Linked DNA regions of Schizosaccharomyces pombe. The gene in region 4 interacts genetically with the main gene of each other region. Each region holds a gene or a part of one and is shown on either strand. Other genes may lie near its edges.

What was found.
Region 1: of csk1 (region 4) and asp1, changing one suppresses a phenotype caused by changing the other (phenotypic suppression), as found in Schizosaccharomyces pombe (2 studies listed by BioGRID).
Region 2: of csk1 (region 4) and pho7, changing one suppresses a phenotype caused by changing the other (phenotypic suppression), as found in Schizosaccharomyces pombe (3 studies listed by BioGRID).
Region 3: mutations in csk1 (region 4) and sre2 together harm fitness more than expected from each alone (negative genetic interaction), as found in Schizosaccharomyces pombe (2 studies listed by BioGRID).

The regions. Positions count from the first base shown.
Region 1 is NC_003421.2:570,970-576,448, reverse strand, and holds asp1 (inositol hexakisphosphate kinase/inositol pyrophosphate synthase), read left to right. Parts: upstream 1-1,876; 5' UTR 1,877-1,976; coding exon 1,977-4,739; 3' UTR 4,740-4,979; downstream 4,980-5,479. Other genes in the region: U3 snoRNP-associated protein Utp21, read right to left, coding at 1-777, 837-912; tyrosine--tRNA (Tyr) ligase Yrs1, read left to right, coding at 5,001-5,479.
Region 2 is NC_003423.3:1,344,575-1,349,837, reverse strand, and holds pho7 (transcription factor Pho1), read left to right. Parts: upstream 1-1,863; 5' UTR 1,864-2,372; coding exon 2,373-4,589; 3' UTR 4,590-4,726; downstream 4,727-5,263. Other genes in the region: protein Cbp4, read right to left, coding at 975-1,037, 1,216-1,334, 1,422-1,458.
Region 3 is NC_003423.3:550,578-557,100, reverse strand, and holds sre2 (membrane-tethered transcription factor), read left to right. Parts: upstream 1-1,805; 5' UTR 1,806-2,976; coding exon 2,977-5,358; 3' UTR 5,359-5,971; downstream 5,972-6,523. Other genes in the region: mrps16 (mitochondrial ribosomal protein subunit S16), read right to left, coding at 223-255, 522-702, 1,132-1,208; SPOM_SPBC354.04 (uncharacterized protein), read right to left, coding at 6,314-6,523.
Region 4 is NC_003424.3:647,771-651,227, reverse strand, and holds csk1 (cyclin-dependent kinase-activating kinase Csk1), read left to right. Parts: upstream 1-1,662; 5' UTR 1,663-1,834; coding exon 1,835-2,338; exon of another isoform or gene 2,339-2,398; coding exon 2,399-2,614; exon of another isoform or gene 2,615-2,726; coding exon 2,727-2,927; downstream 2,928-3,457. Other genes in the region: phosphatidylinositol synthase (CDP-diacylglycerol--inositol 3-phosphatidyltransferase) Pis1, read right to left, coding at 1-35, 683-740; erd101 (EXS domain-containing protein), read left to right, coding at 3,420-3,457. UniProt on the Schizosaccharomyces pombe protein: Acts as a CAK-activating kinase that specifically activates crk1 of the crk1-mcs2 CAK complex.

The DNA.
Region 1 (5,479 bases), on a different chromosome or scaffold from region 4:
ATGTAACATTTTGAATTCTTCGCTTTGAAAGATCCCAAAAAGAAAGGTCACCAATGGGGTTGGAAGAAGCTAATATTGGTGTCCCATCAGTACGGAATGAACATGAAAGAACTTGGCCATCTTGTTTGAATTCCATGAGTATTGAACCATTTTTAAGATTAAAGATTACAATACGACCACTAATAGTACCAACAGCTAAAACATCGAGGACAGGGGCTTGTGTTAAACTAGTGATTCCATCACCAAAAAATTCCTGAAATTCATGTACACGTTTAGAAACACGCAAATTCCAAATCTGTAATGCTCCATCTGAGAATCCTAGCAGTATTTTGTTCAAATAAGTGCTTGGATGTAGTAAACTAGTGATATCTGCATTGGTATTAGGAAGAAATGTAGTATGAAGCTCAGGAACACTATATTTAGAAGCGTGTTTCCATACATAAACATGACGAGAAGATGTACAAGCAATAATCCACTCACCAAAAGCATCTAAATGAGTGACTGTTCCATGTTCTTGCTCCACATCAATGTCCCATATTATTTTACCACGTTTATATGCAAAAATTTTTGATCCGGCAGCTACAAGCATGAAATCTTTAAAGGATTTTAAACAAGTAATTTCCTTGTCTAATTGCTTGCCAACGAAAAGCAAATTCAACTTTTCGCAGTCATATGTTTGAAATGTGTTTCCCACCGACGTTGTTACCAAAAAATGGGTTCCACGAGCCTCAATGTCGAAAGGTACTGCATTGGAAACGTGACCGATGGATCTAAAGGCTAAAAATACAGTTAGCAATCTGTTCATTCCAAAAGAAAAAGAGAGAATTTTGACTTACGAGCATAGATCCTAGATTTTCTTAGAGGCTTCACCGCATTTTCATAAGTCCTCCGTTTCTTCTCTGCAAATGGCATTTTATCACAGGAAAGAACACAAATAGCACGTAAAATGGCAAAGGATGGCTCTTGTCCTGTAACTTGCAAAAAGCAGTGTTTGTGAAATTCTAGCAACCCTTTACGACCTACAGTAATAATCGTTAATTTACGACAGTGTATTTACTGAAATCGATAAATGTGTTTAACGATATGGTCAATCCGTCATATATCAATTTTCGGTAATTATAAATAAGAATCGTTCTGCTATTGTTCCGTTTATTTAAGTAAACAAATTATTTATTATTAAAAAAAAAAGAGAACTAAACATTGATGTCTAATGTTATTGTAAGATTTAATCGTAAAAACATGTTAGCAAAACTTCTACATTCTCTTCAGAATACCTAAAGAACTCTATTCACATATATCAAAAAGTGGTAAGGTAAATCTATGATTGTTGGAATTCTGGGCTTGTAAATAATGAAATAAATTTCAGTAAATTCTTAAAAAATATTTTTCTTTATGTAAAAGGTGCGAGAACAATATACTCTTGAACCCAGCTAGTAGAAGTAATTTTTTAATGTTTGTTGCTTGTAAAATTTAAACATTCCAGTCCACGTGTTTTCGCACGGACGAAAAGTAAAAACCTATTAAACAAAAATTTTTTCTAATTCTTTTTTAATTTAATATTGATGGATTTTACAAGCTTTTACTAAACTGGAAGAATACGTTTTTGAAAGAAGAATAACAGAAACTGGGCTTGGTTAAAAAAATTTTTATGAAAACCCAAATTAACTAACCCAGTATAATTAGTAAAAAAGTTATTCATAGAAGCATTACTGCGAAACAAATTCAATATTCACTGTCCACTTCATTTAAGCAACAATTTCTTATTTATTTACATTTCGTTAGGTAAACAAATGTTACCTCGCTGAATTGTAAGGTTAACCGTACAAGTAACATTGATCGACTAGGTGTGTACTAACACCGTGTACCTACATCTCTCATAACCAAACAAGTGAGGGAATTGGCCATTGAAAGAATACAAGTGGGAAAAAGGTGTTTTAAGCGTTATTAAATATTTTAACGTAGTTGAATAATAAAGGATGATTCAAAATGCAAGTCATCTTACATCTATCGACACAGAGTCATCTACCAGAACGGCGTCGCCTGTTTCCTCAATCGTTACACCTACTAAACGAAATGTAGTTGGAATCTGTGCCATGGATGCCAAAGCTCGCTCAAAACCATGTCGGAATATTCTGAACAGAATCATCGCAGAAGGTGAGTTTGAAGCCATAGTATTCGGTGACAACATGATTTTGGACGAAGCTGTGGAAAATTGGCCTGCTTGTGATTATTTGATATGTTTCTACTCTAGTGGATTTCCATTGAAGAAAGCTGAAAAGTATGTCGAGTTGCGTAAACCTTTTTGTGTAAACGATGTAGTATTCCAAGAGTTGCTTTGGGATAGACGGCTTGTGTTGAACATCCTTGATGCCATACGTGTTTCCACCCCTCAGCGTTTGATTTGCTCTCGTGATGGAGGTCCTAAAATTAATAAAGTCCTAGAAGAAAAGTTGCGTCGAAAGTTTGGAATAGAAATCACAGAGGTTCCTACCCCAGAAGTAAAAATGTTGGACGAAGATACTCTTTCTGTTGATGGCAAGATAATAAAGAAGCCGTACGTTGAAAAACCAGTCTATGGTGAAGATCACAATATTTATATTTATTTCCCTAAATCCGTTGGTGGGGGAGGTCGCAAATTATTTCGTAAAGTCGCAAATAAGTCTTCAGATTATGATCCAGATCTTTGTGCTCCACGCACTGAAGGATCTTTTATTTACGAGGAATTCATGAATGTCGATAACGCGGAAGACGTAAAGGTTTATACCGTGGGTCCTCATTACAGCCATGCAGAAACCCGCAAATCACCCGTAGTGGACGGAATTGTGAGAAGGAATCCACATGGTAAGGAAATTAGGTTTATCACCAATCTTTCAGAGGAAGAAAAAAATATGGCCTCTAAGATATCAATTGCGTTTGAGCAACCTGTTTGTGGATTTGATCTTCTTCGTGTCTCAGGTCAGTCGTATGTGATTGATGTGAATGGATGGTCCTTCGTCAAGGATAACAACGATTATTATGATAATGCTGCTCGAATTTTGAAACAAATGTTTCATGTTGCCGAACGTCATAGACGGAATCGTGTACCTTCAGTCCAAGAAGTTTTAAATCCTCCGCCTAGAGAAAGTGAGGCATGGAGACTTAAAAGTTTGGTCGGAGTCCTGCGTCACGCGGATCGTACACCTAAACAAAAGTTTAAGTTTTCATTTACATCTGATCCATTTGTAAAATTATTGCAAGGTCATACCGAGGAAGTTATTTTAAGAAACGAACAACTCAATTCTGTTTTGGCAGCTACCAACCTTGCTACAGAACTCAAATGCGAAGATATCAACAAGTTAAAACAGTTACGCTTAGCTTTGGAAACGAAGAAAGACTTACCGGGGACAAAAGTGCAACTTAAACCGGCTTATTCCCCAGAGGGAAAGCTTTTGAAACTGCAGCTAATTATCAAATGGGGTGGTGAATTTACTCATTCCGCGAGATACCAATCTAAGGATTTAGGAGAGCAGTTTCATAAGGACCTGTATATTATGAATCGTGATTGCCTGAAAGATGTCGAAATATACACATCTTCTGAAAGACGTGTCTCTGCTTCTGCTGAAATTTTTGCAATGGCCTTTTTGGAGCAAGAAACTATTCCTAGCGACTTACTCAAAGTTCGCAAAGATCTGTTAGATGATTCTAATGCTGCCAAGGATACTATGGATAAGGTTAAGAAACACTTGAAATCATTATTAAGAGTTGGAGATACGGCTAGAAAGGAGTTTACTTGGCCAGAAAACATGCCCAAGCCTTGTGAAGTAATGCAACAAGTTGTTCAACTCATGAAATATCATCGCGCAGTAATGAGAGAGAATTTTATTATTTTGGGACCTGAGGTTGAGCAAGTTCAATCGCGTTGGTGTTGTAATGAAAATCCTGCGCTCTTTAGGGAAAGGTGGGAGAAGTTGTTTAGCGAATTTTGTGACTCTGAGAAAGCAGACCCATCCAAGGTTTCTGAACTATACGATACATTGAAGTATGATGCTCTTCACAATCGGCAATTTTTGGAACGCATATTTACTCCCTATCAGTATCTCAAATTGCCTCAGAGTCCAAGCTTGATTGCCAAAGAGCCTCCCCAAAGAACCGATAGCAATGGCAATCTTGTTGGGATGACCGGTGCAAATACTAATCACACTGAAAGGCCGTTGGAAAAGTTGTATGAGCTATACGATTTAGCAAAAGTATTATTTGATTTTGTTTCTCCTCAAGAATATGGTATAGAACCGAAAGAAAAGTTAGAAATTGGTTTATTAACAAGTGTACCGTTGCTTCGTCAAATCATACATGACATTAAAGAGGCACGAGATTCTGATCATGCTTCAACAAGAATGTACTTTACTAAAGAGTCTCATATCTATACCTTGCTTAATTGTATACTTGAATCAGGACTACCTATGAAATTACCTAGAAATCAAATTCCCGAATTAGATTATCTCACTCAAATATGCTTTGAGTTATTCGAGAGGACTAATCCTTCAGGAAATAAGGAATTTTCTGTTCGTATCACACTCTCACCAGGTTGTTATGCCCAATGTCCATTGGATATGAATCTTGATGCTAAACACTGTATTAGCGTTTCACCTCGCAGGTCGCTTACAAGACATTTAGACCTTCAGCAGTTTATAACGAAAACCGAGGACCTCTGCAACTCAGTTCATCTTCCCAAAAGGTTTATTCCTGTTAACATTAATTAACCGCTTTTACCCTTTTTACGAATGTTTTGATAACATAAACATTTTTTAAACGATATTTTATTAGTAATTGCACATAATTAAACCAAATTATTTATTAAACCTTGGTTAATAATTTTGTCTGAATAATTTGTTGTTCGGGTTGCAGTCACGGTGCCGCGGCAATTCCGAACGTTGATCGCAGTCCATGATTGCAATCGAAAACATCGTTAACCAACATCACCAATTTTTGTGAGTTCCATTTAACGTTGGATATCAAGCAAGATGTCGCTTACTCCGGATGAAAAATATGAGTTGATTACTCGTAATCTTCAAGAGGTGCTTGGCGCCAAAATGATTCGCGAAATTTTGAATGAACGCGATATCAGCTTGTACTGGGGCAGTGCACCTACTGGCCGTCCTCATTGTGGTTATTTTGTGCCAATGATGAAGTTGGCTGATTTTTTAAAGGCCGGTGTACATGTTACTGTTCTTTTAGCCGATGTCCATGCTTTTTTGGATAACATGAAGGCGCCGATGGAACTCGTTCAACACCGTGTTCGTTATTATGAAATTATTGTCAAATCTATTCTAAAATCGTTGAATATTCCCATTGAGAAGCTTCGTTTTGTCATTGGCTCCAGCTATCAGCTGAAGGAGGATTATACCCTTGATAACTTTCGACTTGCTGCATCTACGACAGAGCACACTGCTCGTCGTGCCGGTGCAGAAGTTGTCAAGCAGGTCGCTAGTCCTCTATTGTC
Region 2 (5,263 bases), on a different chromosome or scaffold from region 4:
CAAAAAATGCTACTACCGAAATACATGGTACATACGCCAATGGTTTTGTCGCCTCCATTAACATAAAGAATTTAGCAAGGGCTTTTACATTATCAAATACATAAAGAGTTTTTCAAGCATTTTTTTCCATTGAAGAATCGTGCGTTAGTATTTCATAATGGTGAAGCAAACAGCTGTCTTCAAGACAACAAACTGTACAACACGCTTCCTCATGAAAGACACCAGCTGAGTATTCAATCATCATTCTCTTTGTAGATTTAAGAATATATCTATATTACTTATCGTTTTCGTCAAATCATTTTTTCAAACGTTTCATATGAGTATATTAGCAAGTAAACAATCAATACTTTTGGGAAATAAGCCTCTCAAAATACCAGAATGGGCGAGGTATTTCATTAAAAGTTTCGTTGACGATTTCAAAATGAAAATGTGTTTTTTGTTACAAATACGTGGAAATGGGGTGTTTACCTATTGGATGTATTCTCGTGTATTTTGAGAAAGAAGTACCAAAATTTAAAGTGAGGAAACTAAAGACTTATTTCGCTTTCAAAAGAGCTGAAGTTGCTGGATGCTTACAAGTCTTCCATTTTTATTGATAGTGGGCTTGATATGAGTCAAATCAGGCAAAAGTAATATATACACTGTTGAAAATACAACGGTCTGATAATAGTCATTCATTATCGTTCATATCCATAATCAAATGAATCATTAATTTTCAAATAAGCACAAGTTACGTTTTTTTGTTTTGTAAGGTTTTATACGAATACGCGATAGATTAAGTGAAAAAAAAAAAAAAATCAGAAATCATCAATAGTAGCACGATGAAGAAACAAGAAAATTGAAAATGACCCATCAATGGGAAACGCTCGTTTTTTTGTAAGTCCTAGGAAAGTAACTTTTAGATATATATTTGAGAGAGGAAGATCGAAACATTGAGATGATAAAATTAAAATGAATTGAGTAAGAATACTCGCTTAAACAAGGTTTTTAGGATTTCGTTTTGCGTCTTCAATCATTCGTAAAACACCTTCGGCTTGCTACTCAAAGTCAGTTTCATAGAATACGAACAAAAACCATTGAAAGCAAACACCACGTTTGAAGAAGGTAAAGGGAAATATTAAGGAAGACTTAATATTCTCTCTTTTGTGGCACCCCCAAACCCACTTCAGAACCTGGAGCAAACAGTTTTAAAAAAGATTCGCTATGTATACTTACTGATCGATCTTTTTTGTTCATTTCATAAGAAGCTCGAAGATCCGGTGGAAGTGAATTGACAACTCGTTCGGGAGATGGAGTTGTTAATTTCATTGTCATATAGCCAAATCCAACGATTCCTATTTTATATACTGGTAAGTAACACAATCTTAAGTTCGGGATAGAATCTTTTCAACTAAATCGATCCTATCTCAAAATGTCCATACCAACACCGTATACGATACTTTTAACCACACGATTCATGCTTTAGGTACAACAATTCAAAATGGAGTCTGCAAAAAGCAAACAATAATAAAGGTTGTAATACAGAGAAAAAATAACAGTAAGTATAGGCTCTTGACAGCAATGCTATTGCAGACACAGATGTTATGTAAGGCACCCTATACGTGCTATATAGACGTTCCATGGATGGTTGGCCGGTTTGCAAGGCCTTGTGAAATACGCTGTATTCCGTTATTGATCTTTATTATTTTAACAGAACAGAGCGCTGTTTCGCTAAGATTGTCGAAAAAGGTATCTCCCCGCAATGCGGTGGTAGCTTAAATATAAGGTTTTTTAAGGTAAAGTGTTAAAGGCGATTACTGCGCTATGCCCCACCACCCTGTACATGCTAATTTATTACTGCTGCCACCGCTAATCAGATCTGTCGACTTCGCCCTAACACGATAAAAGAAAATCTCTCATCTTTGTCAGGAATTCATCGTTCAAGTGTTTACAAGTGATATTAAATCTGTAAACAGTTATACTGCTTTGACGAGATTGAGCTAAAAATTTATCATTGTTACCCCCCGCGTTCGTGTCATATCAGCACCTTTGATTTGAAAAAGTGTTGCTCAACTGCGGTTTTTTTCAAAAGAAAAGTACCAAGTTGTTGATCATAAAGGATATTTTTACGCGTGATTGTTTTCTTTCTTATTCTTACACAACGATCTTAGTATTCCAAACGCATTTATTCTTCTTCCATATATAGCCCATATCTCCATACTGATTCACAAAAAGCGACGAAAGTGAAGGAGCCATTGATTTAGGGATTTTGGTACTTTTCATTGTCTCCAATTCTTTTGTATTGCCTTTTTGTAACCTAAATTTTCTTAAGACGAAGGAGCATTTGTTTAAGGCTTTACTTTTATCATATTTCTTTTGTCTTTTTCGTTTGTATGCAGAAGAAAGTCGTTCAGTCTGCTTCTAAGAATGAGGAGCTTGATCCACATTACAAGCGGTCCTCCGTTCCTTTCCCTTATGGATTACCCGATTACGATGCAGAATATCAATTCATCAATCATCATATGCAACAATTGCTTACCCGCCCAGTAGAAGGTACTCATTCTGCCTCTGTACATCCCTCCACATCTTCCACCTCTCATATCTCTTCTCCCTCTGCTTTTTCAGTGCAAAACCCAAATCCAAATGATGCTCCGTTTGTGGGAAACATTGGCTTGGATGCATCTGGGTTTTCCTCCGGTGGCATGAGTGAATACTATCCAAGATCTGTTTCTATGCAACAGTCTCAAGACGTCCATTTCCAAAATACCGAAATTCCATACTACCATCGTTCTCCATCGTCTGATAGTTTTTCACCTGGGGTGGTTGCATCTGTTAACCCTAATTCAAACAACTCTCCTACTTTTTACTCAAATCCTCCTGCATTATCTAATATTCCGATTCCCTTAAACAACTCTCCCTATCGTCCTGAAGATGCTTATTTTCAGTTACAAGGTGCTGGAGTGAAGGCAGACATAAATCCATACAACTTGTCTCCCTATTCTCAATATGGTCCAGAGGGCACTGCATATTCAAATGCGCAAGCTCATCATCAGGATGGTGCTCCTTTGCAGCGCGTTTGTTCAGCACCCGATCCTCCTAAAACCTCTATGCCACCTTTTGGATCCGCCGGGAGTCCATCTCCTAATCGTAGTTTAAACGTTTCCAACAACACGACTCCTCCTCTTTCCACTGTGAATAAAATTATAAAAAAGCCTAAAGCTACTACCGGTAAAGTTAAGAAAAGACTTCCTCAGGCCAAGAGAGCTTGCGCAAAGTGTCAAAAAGACAACAAAAAATGTGATGACGCTCGTCCTTGTCAGCGTTGTATTAAAGCCAAAACTGATTGCATTGATTTACCCAGGAAGAAACGGCCAACGGGAGTTAGAAGAGGCCCTTATAAAAAATTGAGTGATACTTCGAACAACACCAAGTCAACTACTGCATCTTCTGGTCATTCCACGCAAGATTCTCTCAGTTCTAAAATGTTGGATCCTTCAAGTGACAATCAGTTTGCCATGTCTTCCAGACAGATGGATGAAAACGGAATGGCCCAGTATCCTTCCTCAGCTATTAAACAAGAACTAAATCTTCAACCCCAGATACTTGTTTCATCTGCTTCAAAGAACTTTCAACCTAATGTCACTCCTCCTTTTGCTGTCCATCATGATCATTTCAATTCAACATCAATGGATGGTGTGGCGGTATCTAACATGGACGAAACTGGAACTTCCTCAGCTGGTTCAAAGCCTTTTAATCGAAAATCTCGAAACCGAAGTTTTACTAATCCAGTTGGTATGACCGAGGAGCATTTTCTAAGAGAATATGCGCAACACTCTGTAGCTAATCCTTCTTTGCTAATTCATCAGATCCATGGTTTACCTTCTGAACAAGTCCATGGCTTATTATCTCATACGGAACTCGGTAATGCAATGCATAATCAACCGACGTATAACGAAAGCTCAATTGCCGCTGAGAATGTGAACAATTGGATGTTAGAAACGAATGACCACGAAAATTTGTCCATGCAGAGCCATTTTGAGGTTCCCGATTTAAAAATGAACCATCACGATTCTAGCTTTTTTGACCGTCACATAGACCAAACGGCTATGCCTGGACAAAATCAACATGGTACTGTTAAGAATATGGAAACAATGCACCATTTTTATCCAGACGTTCATAATTCGGAGTTTCCTGCTGCCCCAAATCCCGTCAAGTCTCAAGTTCCTTATTATTATCAATCCCAAGCTGCTGATGATGAGGAAGAAGATGTACCGGATCATCAACCTTCTTGGCGTGGGAGAATACACTCGTTTTCAATAGCTACTGATTCGTCACAGCATGTGGTAGAAAGACCATGTATCCATTCATTAAGAGGAATACATGGACAACAGGATGGCGGGCTTGAACAACATGATGGTGATCATGTGAATATGCTTCCTGATACCCATGCGGAGGAGCTAGCGTACACATCCATGCTTTTATTTCATGATATACCTACACGAGACATTAGACCCGACTTTAACGTTCATGAGCTAGTCGATCATGGAACCTATCCTAACTTCCATCAAAACCAAGCCGATTCATTCAAGAATCATCCCTTTAGACAATAATTTTGCGCATATTACCTTTGTTTTTCTCGTTTCTTATTTTGTTTTTGCATTTGAGTGTTTCTCAGTAGATTGACCTACACTATGAATATTGTCAGACGACAGATCATCTTATGATCAAACGTAAGACAATGTGAAAAAAAAAGGAAAATGATTTTTTACTCCCATTTATTACTTTTTTTTTACTCTTCTCTCTCTCTTTGCCAAATTGCCATCTGGACCTATCTTTCTAATATCGGTCTAGTAATTTTGATATACTATGGATGCCCTTTTTGTCTTGTATTCTGCTTACATTGATTAAGAATGTTTTATCTTTCGTTTTCTTTGTGTCTATTTATATTTATTTTTGGGTATATTTTGGGAAAGAAAGTCGTTTTGGGATAAATGTGATCGTACAGATGACGAAAGAAGTTACTATATGTGATTTTCTAAGTATTTGTACCATTTAAGTGTGTCGTTTTCTTATTTTTACTGCTATTGTTATAAACGTTTTGTTATTTAGCCTATTGTGCATTCAACTTTCATTTGCTTCTTTTTCCGTTTTAGAGTTTGTAAAGAGATTTTTGTCATTATTAATCTTATTAATTTATACCAGTTTGGATATCCTGGTATAATGGCTTGACATTACACTTGCATTCATTCGTTGTGAATGTGATAAACACGATCGCATATATAAT
Region 3 (6,523 bases), on a different chromosome or scaffold from region 4:
AAAACAAATATCGCACTCAGCCAAAAAACGTGGTTTTAAAAAAACAGTACGGAAGGGTAAAATCGGTCAAAAATTATGAAATTTAGTTGAGAGAGGTAATTAGCGTGATCACAGAGATAAAGTGTAAAAAAAAATAAAAAATGTGTTAAAGATATCTAGACATTGTGAAGTGGTCGTAAAAAAGAAATGTCATGACTTGAGCAATAACGATTATAGTGAGTTTCAAGAAACGGGTTTTTTAGGAAGCAACTGGAACTAAAAGTGAAAAAAGTAACGTTAGTAAGAATTGATAGATTGATAGAAAGAAGTAAAACAAGTAAATTAGTAGCCAAATCGTAACGAAAACAGGGATGAGATCCTACACTCCATTTCGGAAAGCCGGGCAGTTAGGGAACATGAGAAAAATCACCCGAGCGGTATATCGCAAGCGGGTCGAAAATTTTAGTCAAAAAAGAGAGTTGAAAGAAAGTTTAACGAATTTGGACTAGTCATAAAAATAGATAAAGAGAGCTTGGGCATACCTTTTCAGCTAAAGAGCGGACGGTGTCGGATGGTTGTGCTCCTACACTTATCCAATATTTAAAACGTTCAACGTTGAGCTGGATATCTTTTATACGAGGAATGGAGTCCTGAGAATCAATCTTCTTAGGGATGGGATCAAAAGTGCCGATGGTTTCGATAGGTTTGGCTTGAGGTGCTTTCCTATATTGAGTTAACAAAGTCGAACCAAAAGACAGGAATGGATGAAGGAGAAAAAAAAGGATGTACAGGTGATATGTAAACAGTTAATAGAGGCCAAGGGGGCCAAACCACAATAAATAGTCAATTAATAAGAAAAATTGTGGTTGGTGTCCTTGGCATTTTGAATACTATGTAGAAAGACTAGATTAAATAGATGAGAGCATCCAGGAATACCTGAAAACTAAAGCTTCTAAAAAAGATCGCAATTTAGAGCCAAAGGAACCGTCAAAAAAAAGCAGTCTTTTAGCATTTTATCTTCCATTCTTTCATAACCCACATCAAGCCATCTCCCTTACTAAATCCTGTACAAAAACTTTCCCCTTTACGTGAACCGCTACAAGTGTTGTAAAACACGAAACAACCGTCTAGGTATGTTTTCATCCTACTTACCATGCATTCGCAACTACGATATGGTAAAAAGGTCTATTTCTGACGCCATGACGCGCCAAACGAATTTTTACTACCATTGAGAAGAGCCGGTTTTCAACGAGTCCTACAAATCCCGTCTTTCCCACTTGGTGGTAGGAGTATGGTTAAGAGCAACTTGAGTAAACACGAAGACAATGCAGGTATCAAGGATGGAAAGCAGATGGACGTATCGTATTGTGCACTCCGTTGTTTATAAAATAGCGTTGTGCCTTGCTTTTCGTTCATACTTACAAACAAAACATAATTTCAAAAGATCATTTCAAACGTTTTCTGGGATAGAAATTACGTTCTTTTCCTTCCATTTATCTTTCTACTTCCTGCTGACTCTATTTCTCTTTATAAGCAGTGTGAATTGATCATATTCACTACCCCCGGAGTGAGATACAGCACGAATTACGGTAACACGAATACTACAAAGCGAGCATTCTCCACGTTGTTCAAGGTATGCTTTGCTTGTATCGAGTTTGCTAAACAGGAATACTGTAAGCGATTGTAGAATGCGTATACGAGATACCATAAACGAACGTTACTCATGTAATGCGTAGTTTGCCAACCTTCTTTTCACCACGCAATCCTTATAACGTAATGTTAATCGCTATAGACATTCCTTAGCTTAAGCGGCTTCGTCTACTTTTAGCTTTTTCCTCCCTCCCATAAATTCTACTTAGCGACAGCAAAACATAACTTAAGACTCGCGTAGATTGCGCATCCCTGTTGAATATTTAACTCCATCCGTTCTTGAAAATTTCTAGTGATCAAGAAAGCTATTGATTGAATCTTAGAGGGTTTTTGTTGCTTTCGTACGAATCGTTGTTTGGGGAGTTCGGTTAATTGGTATTTTGAGATTTCCCAACACCTAGGCTTCTTTTAGTTAGCATTTTGATCTTGTTCTGAATTGCCCATTCTTTTGGTGTTGTTACGAATTGCTGGATCCACTGACATTGATTTTTGCCATCGTACTCCCGGTTACTGTCAAGTCAGTGTGTTGTGTCGACGGATTCAAGCAAAATAGGAACATCGGATTGAAACGTTTCTTTGGACATCGCTTTGTGGATGAACGGTGCTAGGTTTTAGGCTAGTAGCAGTTTTAAGACTCATTACATATCGGAACACCTGAAGATTTGACGTTTACATCCTGCCTTGCGTCAGTTTCTACTCCTTTCTTCTCCGTCATCATATAATTGCTGTCAATTCCTTATAACGCAGCTTGGGGGCCAATTTTTACTATATTCCCCTTTATATATTTAGTTTTTATAAGTTTTTCTTCTTTCATTGTTTATCCTGTCAAGCTTGTTCATCTTGTCTCGTTTACTTGGTTAGTTCGTGAACGAGTGCGTTCTTGGGGTCGCTTACCTTGAAGATTCCTGTTCAACCCGGTTTCATAATAATTCAACTTGAAAGAGGAAAAACCTAATTTTTTGTTGTTTTATACTTTCCTTCGCTCAAAGACAACTACTATAGGCGTTTTCTTGGGTTCCAATTTTATTTGCTTTCCTACTACAATTTCCACCCATTCTATCTTTCCTTTAGTTTTCGCTTCCTCTCCTTTTTTGAAATAATCCCGCTTTTCTTCTAATTTCTCGTTTATTAAACGGTGTATTGTTAAATTTTTTTTTGCGGTTAGCGTTTCATCAACAAGAAGTTCGGAAATTCGAATTCTCTCCATTACTACTGAGTGTTTTTTCTTTTTTCTTTTTTTAATCTTTCTCTTTTTGTCTTGGAAACTTTTCATTCTTTAAATACCTATAAATACCTTTCGTTCTCCTTGACTCATATCCAAAACGACTGTTTGGTATTCGCTTCGCTATGTGTCCTTCCCAACACTCGTCGCTCAAGGATATTCATCGTCAACTCGAAAACACTGCGATTTCCAATCCCACTGAAAACGCTGATCCATCCAGTTATGTGGATGGCTCAAATATCATGGATTTCAAGCACCCATCCATAGTTTCGTCTTCAGCATCTTCTTCATACCCTATAAGCCACGTGCCCTCTGTAGGAACTCGTGGTATACCACGATCTTACTCTATGGCGTCTGCGTATCCATATCAAGTCAATTCCAATTCAATGGACGCTTCTACTGCCTTCAATCTTAACCAAGACGTTGCTGACAAACCTATGTTGGCACGTAACTCTATTGACTCCTCCATCAATACGGAATTAGGCCCACTAGAATCAAATCATTGGTTTACACAAGCGCAGGATCACTCCCGACAGTACTCAAGTAGCTGGGATCCATCCATTGATCCTTTTGAAGTCAAAAACTCTTTACATGATTCAACGGATTTATCAATCACACATCACCCCCATTTACCTATAAATCATCAAGGGAACACTTGGAAGCATGCAAATGAATCCTTACAGAGCAATCAAGGTCCAGTTCCCAACACAAAGTTTGTCGGTTTGGAGACTACTCAAACGGACTCTTACCAACAATCTTCGGTAAATTCTGTTGTTAAGATCGAGGAAGCTGACGCAACTTACGCTCTTCGTGAGGAAAGCGGTCAGTTTAATACTTTTACTGGTGCTGAAAATCCATCGATATCTCCACATTCCTTGAACCCAAATTTCCCCCAGTACACTGAAAAACCGGCTTTAACGCTATTGCAGAGCCCGAAGCAAAATTCAAATTATGATACATCTAATTTTCAAAACTCTGTTTCAGATTCCTCCATGCAATTTACAAACGAAGGTATGCCATCGCCTGTGAAAGGAATCATGAGTTCCGATGATGCTGTCGCATTTAATTTCTCTCAATATAGTACGGTCTATCCCCAAAACGCACCTGAAAATGGTAACGAATTTGAGACACCTAACAAGCTTAAGAGAACGGTATCTTCTCCTTGTGCTTCAATCTCTTCAAAGCGTAGCTATGGGGATATTGCGCAAGACTGTTCATATATATCTTCAAAGACTAATGGTGGAGGCCCTTCAGATTCTCCTTCAAGCTCTTCGACCTCTGTTCGAGGTTCTGTAAACGATTCGAATAGCCCCATTTCTTCATCGGCAACTTTCGCTATCCAAAGCAATGGGGTGGAGCCGGTTGGTTTATCTACCCAAGAACAAAACCTTTCTCCTTTGAGCAAAAGGTCCGCTCACAATATGATCGAAAAACGTTACCGAAGTAATCTTAATGACAAAATTGCTGAGCTAAGGGATGCAGTACCGACTCTGCGCTCTGGATACAATTCTACTACAGCAGATGAGCTTAAGGGTACTTACGTTCCCTTATCGCGAAAGCTGAACAAAGCTACCATTTTGTCAAAAGCTACCGAGTATATAAAAAGTTTACAATCAAAAAATAAAAAGTTAATCGAAGAAAACAAGATTTTGCAAAAACGCTTATCAGAATACACCTCGGTCATTCAAGCTTCTTTGACCGCACCCTCCCAACCGGCTTCATTGTCTTTGCTAGGTCCTCCTGGTAACACTCCAGGACATCGCAATGTTCCGCCTATATTGAAAAGGAGTAGCATCGGTACTCCTTCTCAACAAGCTTATTTTCCAGATGCTCCCCATAATTGCCATTCGGTTCCTCAAAATAGCTCGTATCCCCGACCTCCAATGCAGGTTAATAGATCTCCTATTGATTCGATGCAAACGATTCCTCATGCAAATTTTAATGAGATGCACAATGCGTATTCCTCTAGATACCCTTTGAAATATTCAAAGTCCTGCAATGCGGTTTCGCATACATCAATGATGCATCCACAAGAATACGGTGGATCACTTCCTTCGTCGACAGTTCCCTCTGATTACAATCAACCTCAGTTGGTGTCGCCAAGGGCTCAGGCTGATCAGCAAGGATTGAGTTATAAAAACGTTGGGAGGGCTGTTCTGAACGGTCTAGTGGGATTAGAAACTGTTCATATGTTAACTAATCCGGATGATGCTGGTTCTTCCAATCGCTTTTCAATGTCAGTACTCCCAATATCTCCTTCTCTCCATAGTATCTTGCGATTTTTATTGTTGCTTTTAGCTTTTCTTTGTTTTGCCATGCATATACTTTTAACACCAGAAGCTACCTTGCGAAAATGGGCATCTTCCATATACCTCTCCTTTCGATTGGAGTGTGTTTTTATATCTTTTTTGATATTTTCTGTACCAATTTACGATTGGGGAAACTATTTAAATTTGCGTGGAAAATTGCTATCCGAATTAAATTTAGAATCTGGTGTTGCAACATAATTCCAATCACTCTTCTTTATAGTATTCTCCACTAAGCTGGAATTCTCTGAGATTACTGTTCGTGTTCTTTTGTGGATGTTTCCTTGACTACTTAACTAATAAAAGCGTGACATTATACTGCTTCCCTTATAGTTTTGGTTGGTTTTCAAGGATCTTGTTTTTGTTTTGTTCATCTTGTACCTGTGTAAGTTTTATATGACATTGACCTAATGGCCGTGCTCATGACTTCCGATTTCCTAATACGGTGATTTTACTTTGGAAGGCTTTATTACACTTTTTTAAGAAATATGATTCCTATTTTAATATTTCTTTTATGTAACTGTGCCAGTGTTTTGTCTGATTGGGGGTATGGAATGAATAGTTTTTCACTGCTCGTTGTTGGAAATAAATACTTGATCGCAATGATTTGTCAATGTATTAAGAAGTTATGTATTACTTCAACAGATGTGAACGAATTCGTTTACCTTTGCTTTTTGATGATTCGTGTTTGTTGTTTACTTCTATCTTTTTTTGCCTTAGTGTTAATTGTCGCTCTAGCAGACGACGGTAAATTAACTATTAATAATCATTTCTAACGGATTTTCTTTTTATCCAGCTCCCTCTAATGAGGCTTTATTAGTAAAATTATATAATTATATCCATTTATCTTCCATTTTTATTCTCGAATTTTTCTTGCTGTAAGATTGAAGCAGTTTGGAAATATAAAAATTATGTTTTCAAATTGAAATTGAATAGCCAATCTAAATGAAAAAAATTTTAGTGTCATCGTCAACCTTATAATTTCCCCTATATTGTATCAAATCCCAACTCCTATACTGTTTCAAAAAAATGCCAAAATATAACGACCAACATGGACCTTCTTAAAAATTTTTTAAGATTAAAAAATATAATCTTTGTTAAAATGAAAAAGATAGTAGGCAAGAGAAACATAATGAAAACCATACGGCTTTTATCCTTACTTAGTCGCTTCCTCTTCAATTTCCTGGAACTCGCGAACGACTGTGTCAGACCTTTTGAGCTTATCATTAATGAATGTCCATCTTTTCAAGGTATTCTCTACCAATCCGTCAGCACGGGGTAGTAGATTCTTGCCTACGACCTTGGGTGCAAACAAATATGGAATTAACATAGGGTGTGGAAGAGGCGTTAATATCACCAAATAAAC
Region 4 (3,457 bases):
CAACGAAATAAGTACCAAAAAAACCCTAGTAAAACCTAAACAAAGAGTCAGAATACTGAACAATTATAAGAATGAAAGTCCAGCGCTAATTTCAGCATATTGAGAAAAGAGGCCATAAAAGATAATGATTCACAAAGTTTTAGTAATTTTGAAAAGTGACGAAAATGATGCTTTTATAATAGAGATAACTTGACTTGACGCAATAGATTATTTTCAAAAGGGTAAGTAAATCTGTTAAGTCTAAGAACACCTTAAAATTATTAAGCACAACAAATAATTTTACGCACATCTAAAGTCTCATTCATTATTTTAATTAACTTCCGAAAAAGCATACAAAGTATCCAATACTCCGCTCATAGCTTGCCCAGAGCAAAAAGGAAAATCATTTGACAGCTTTAAAAATTTAACTCGCATATTTCTTAAAATATGGTTCAGTTGGTGCTTTGAGCAACATGAATTCTATGTAGGCTCAATTGCTTACATCGAATGGCAAAACAAATGTAGAAAGCATACAGCCTTTTTTTTCTTTAAAAAGCTGATAGGAAAAAAATATCAAAAAAAAGTATCATTTCGAAAAGGCTTTGACCAACCTTCCGGGTAAGACATAATTAAAGAAGGAAATGTAGACCTTTTTGCTCAACATAGCTTTGTTGCTGTAACAAGACTTCCGAATAATACTCACCAATCAAATTTGGTACAAAAAAGTACACGTTTGGGTCTTTCTGCTCGTTCTTTCCCATTGTAACTAATGTTGCAAAAGGAAGATACAGCGTTAGTGGTCTGCCATAAAGCTTACCGCAATATCGCTTTCCGTTGGAATACGCAAAAAAAATATTACCGCCCGTACGAAATCACCGTAATTAATATTATAAAAGGCCAACGTAGGATTGTTTTCGTTTCGCTAAGCTTATTACCTTCTTTGGAACAAAACACTTGCGCGACAATCATAACCTAGCTTATTTAAGGTTACCTTGACTCAGTTCAATTATTAATGGTTTTGCACGAGTAATTTCTTTCATGTTTGTAGAATTATGAATTAAAATATTTAATAAAATTATTTATCTATTTTTTTAAGCTGTTACTGAGAAACAGTTCTTGATTTAACTATTTTTTTTTTTTTTTTTTTTTGACACTGTCAGTAATAATCTCGAAACATCATTGCGTAAAACATTTCATAGACAATCATTATTAATATTTCTTTAATAAATTAATATTTTTTCTAATTTCCTATAACAGCAGCGATTTTTGGAAACAGATAAAGTAGTAAAAGATTAAACCTATACATCTCACCATTTTTGACAATTCGAGTAAGGTAATGTAGACGCATTTGACACATATATGATCTCTAAAACAATTAAAACACTTATTATCACAAAGATATTTTTTTCATTCAAGCAAACAAAGCGAAAAAAAAATAAAAATAAAAAAAGAATTCTTAGTATTCTTCCTTACTACAAAAATTCATACTCTGACTTTATAAGTGTACTACAAATGTATAAAGTACATATAAGAATGGTATCTATTTATATTTTTTTAAAAGCATTATCCAATATCTTTTTAGCATCATCATGCGAGATCACAGTTAGGCTTTCATCTGGTGGCCATCCTTCACCGCCAGTACATATCTATATGTCTGCTCTCATTAAAGTTTGTAAAAAGAGTAAGCCTCACCTCCAAACACATTGCATAAAAAGAAAAACATATTGCGTAAAACACCTTGCGATAAGTAATTTTCAAAGTTTTATATTACAACGTTTTAGCTGTTTTTTATTTTGTTAGATAGGCTTAAAATTTCAAGTGAAATCAATCAGGAACGATTGAATTTATAAATTTAATGAAATCAGTCGGTCATTTCGTTCCGTGGCTCACTGATATAAGGCACCTGACGGATGGCACTATTAGTGAAGTGTTCGTGGGTGAAAGAAAGAATAGCAAAAAACTATATGTTATTAAAGTTCAAGGTTTAGTATTTAAAAGGCCACCTCACGATGCCATGAGAGGCAAGCTTATTTTAGAGTCAATAGGCCATCCACACATTGAAAGGATAGTGGACTCTTTCATAGACAATGAAGCAGGATCCGTTTACCTTATAACGAGTTTTAAATCGTTTGTTCTATCAGATGTGATGGATGAAATTTCAATTGATACAAAATGCAAGATCGTATTGCAAATAAGTAGCGCCCTTGAATACCTAGAAAAGCATGGGATTCTGCATCGTGATATTCATCCAAATAATATACTATTGGATTCAATGAATGGCCCCGCTTATCTATCTGATTTCAGTATTGCTTGGTCCAAACAGCATCCAGGAGAAGAAGTGCAGGAACTCATTCCCCAAGTATGTTAAAGAGAGTTTTATATTTTGCCGAACCTGCAAGATTTCTAACGTTTTTTTTAGATTGGAACTGGTCATTATAGAGCAATTGAAACCTTGTTCGGCTGTCATTCTTATGGTCATGAAGTCGATCGTTGGACATTTGGCATTCTGATCGCTGAACTATTTTCCAATCAAGCTTTGTTTGACGATGGATCTTCTGAAGGATGGCCTAGTGAATTAAGGTTAACAAGCAGTATTATTCAAACTTTGGGTACTCCAAATCCAAGCATGTGGCCTGTAAGTTTCAAATCTTTAACATTATATCTGAGCCTTTGAACAAAAACAAAACATTTTAGACTTTTTTTTTAAATAATAGGGTTTCATGCAGATTTTGCTAACTGTTTTTAAGGAACTTTCGACTTTCCCAGATTGGAATAAATTTATATTTCATGAATATCCACCCAAACCTTGGTCAGAAATTTTACCATCTGTTGATACTTCAATTCAGTATATAGTTTCGCATCTTGTCACATACTCAAATCGGGCTTCACCATCCTTCGTGATTGAGTCATTCCCTAAAGTATCTGCTAGGCTTTCACAATATGCATAAAATTTACTCTCAGGATTGGTGTAGGAAATACATAATTTATTTTAAAGGACAGTAGAAATAAACAGGTAGGCAATACTACCGTAGGAATTAATTATCTTAGCTTCAGTTAATATTCTTTTGTCTTTTTATTAAAAACTCCTTTTGATAATACTGAGTTTTATAGTAATATCCAACGTTGAATATCTAGTGCAATAAATCGCAACGATAATCTGTAATTCTACGCACAGCATTTCTTCAATCTCACATTAGGTTGATCACTTGTATTAAACAACCGAATAGGCCTACATCTGTTTTGTTTCCCACAACTTAGATACTTATTTTGGTAGCTTGATGCGCATGCTAACCGTGCACGACTACGCAATTTGGTACCGAACTCTTCCTCCCTTCTCACATCTACCTGAGCATTTAATGCCGCTAAAAATTGTATTGGAAGATAATAAAACATTCTTCAAATACTTTAAATTATGCATCTAGCCTAGTGACGGCTTAAAGATGGATTTGGAAGTCGTGGAGTTTCCCTTGCACCACAA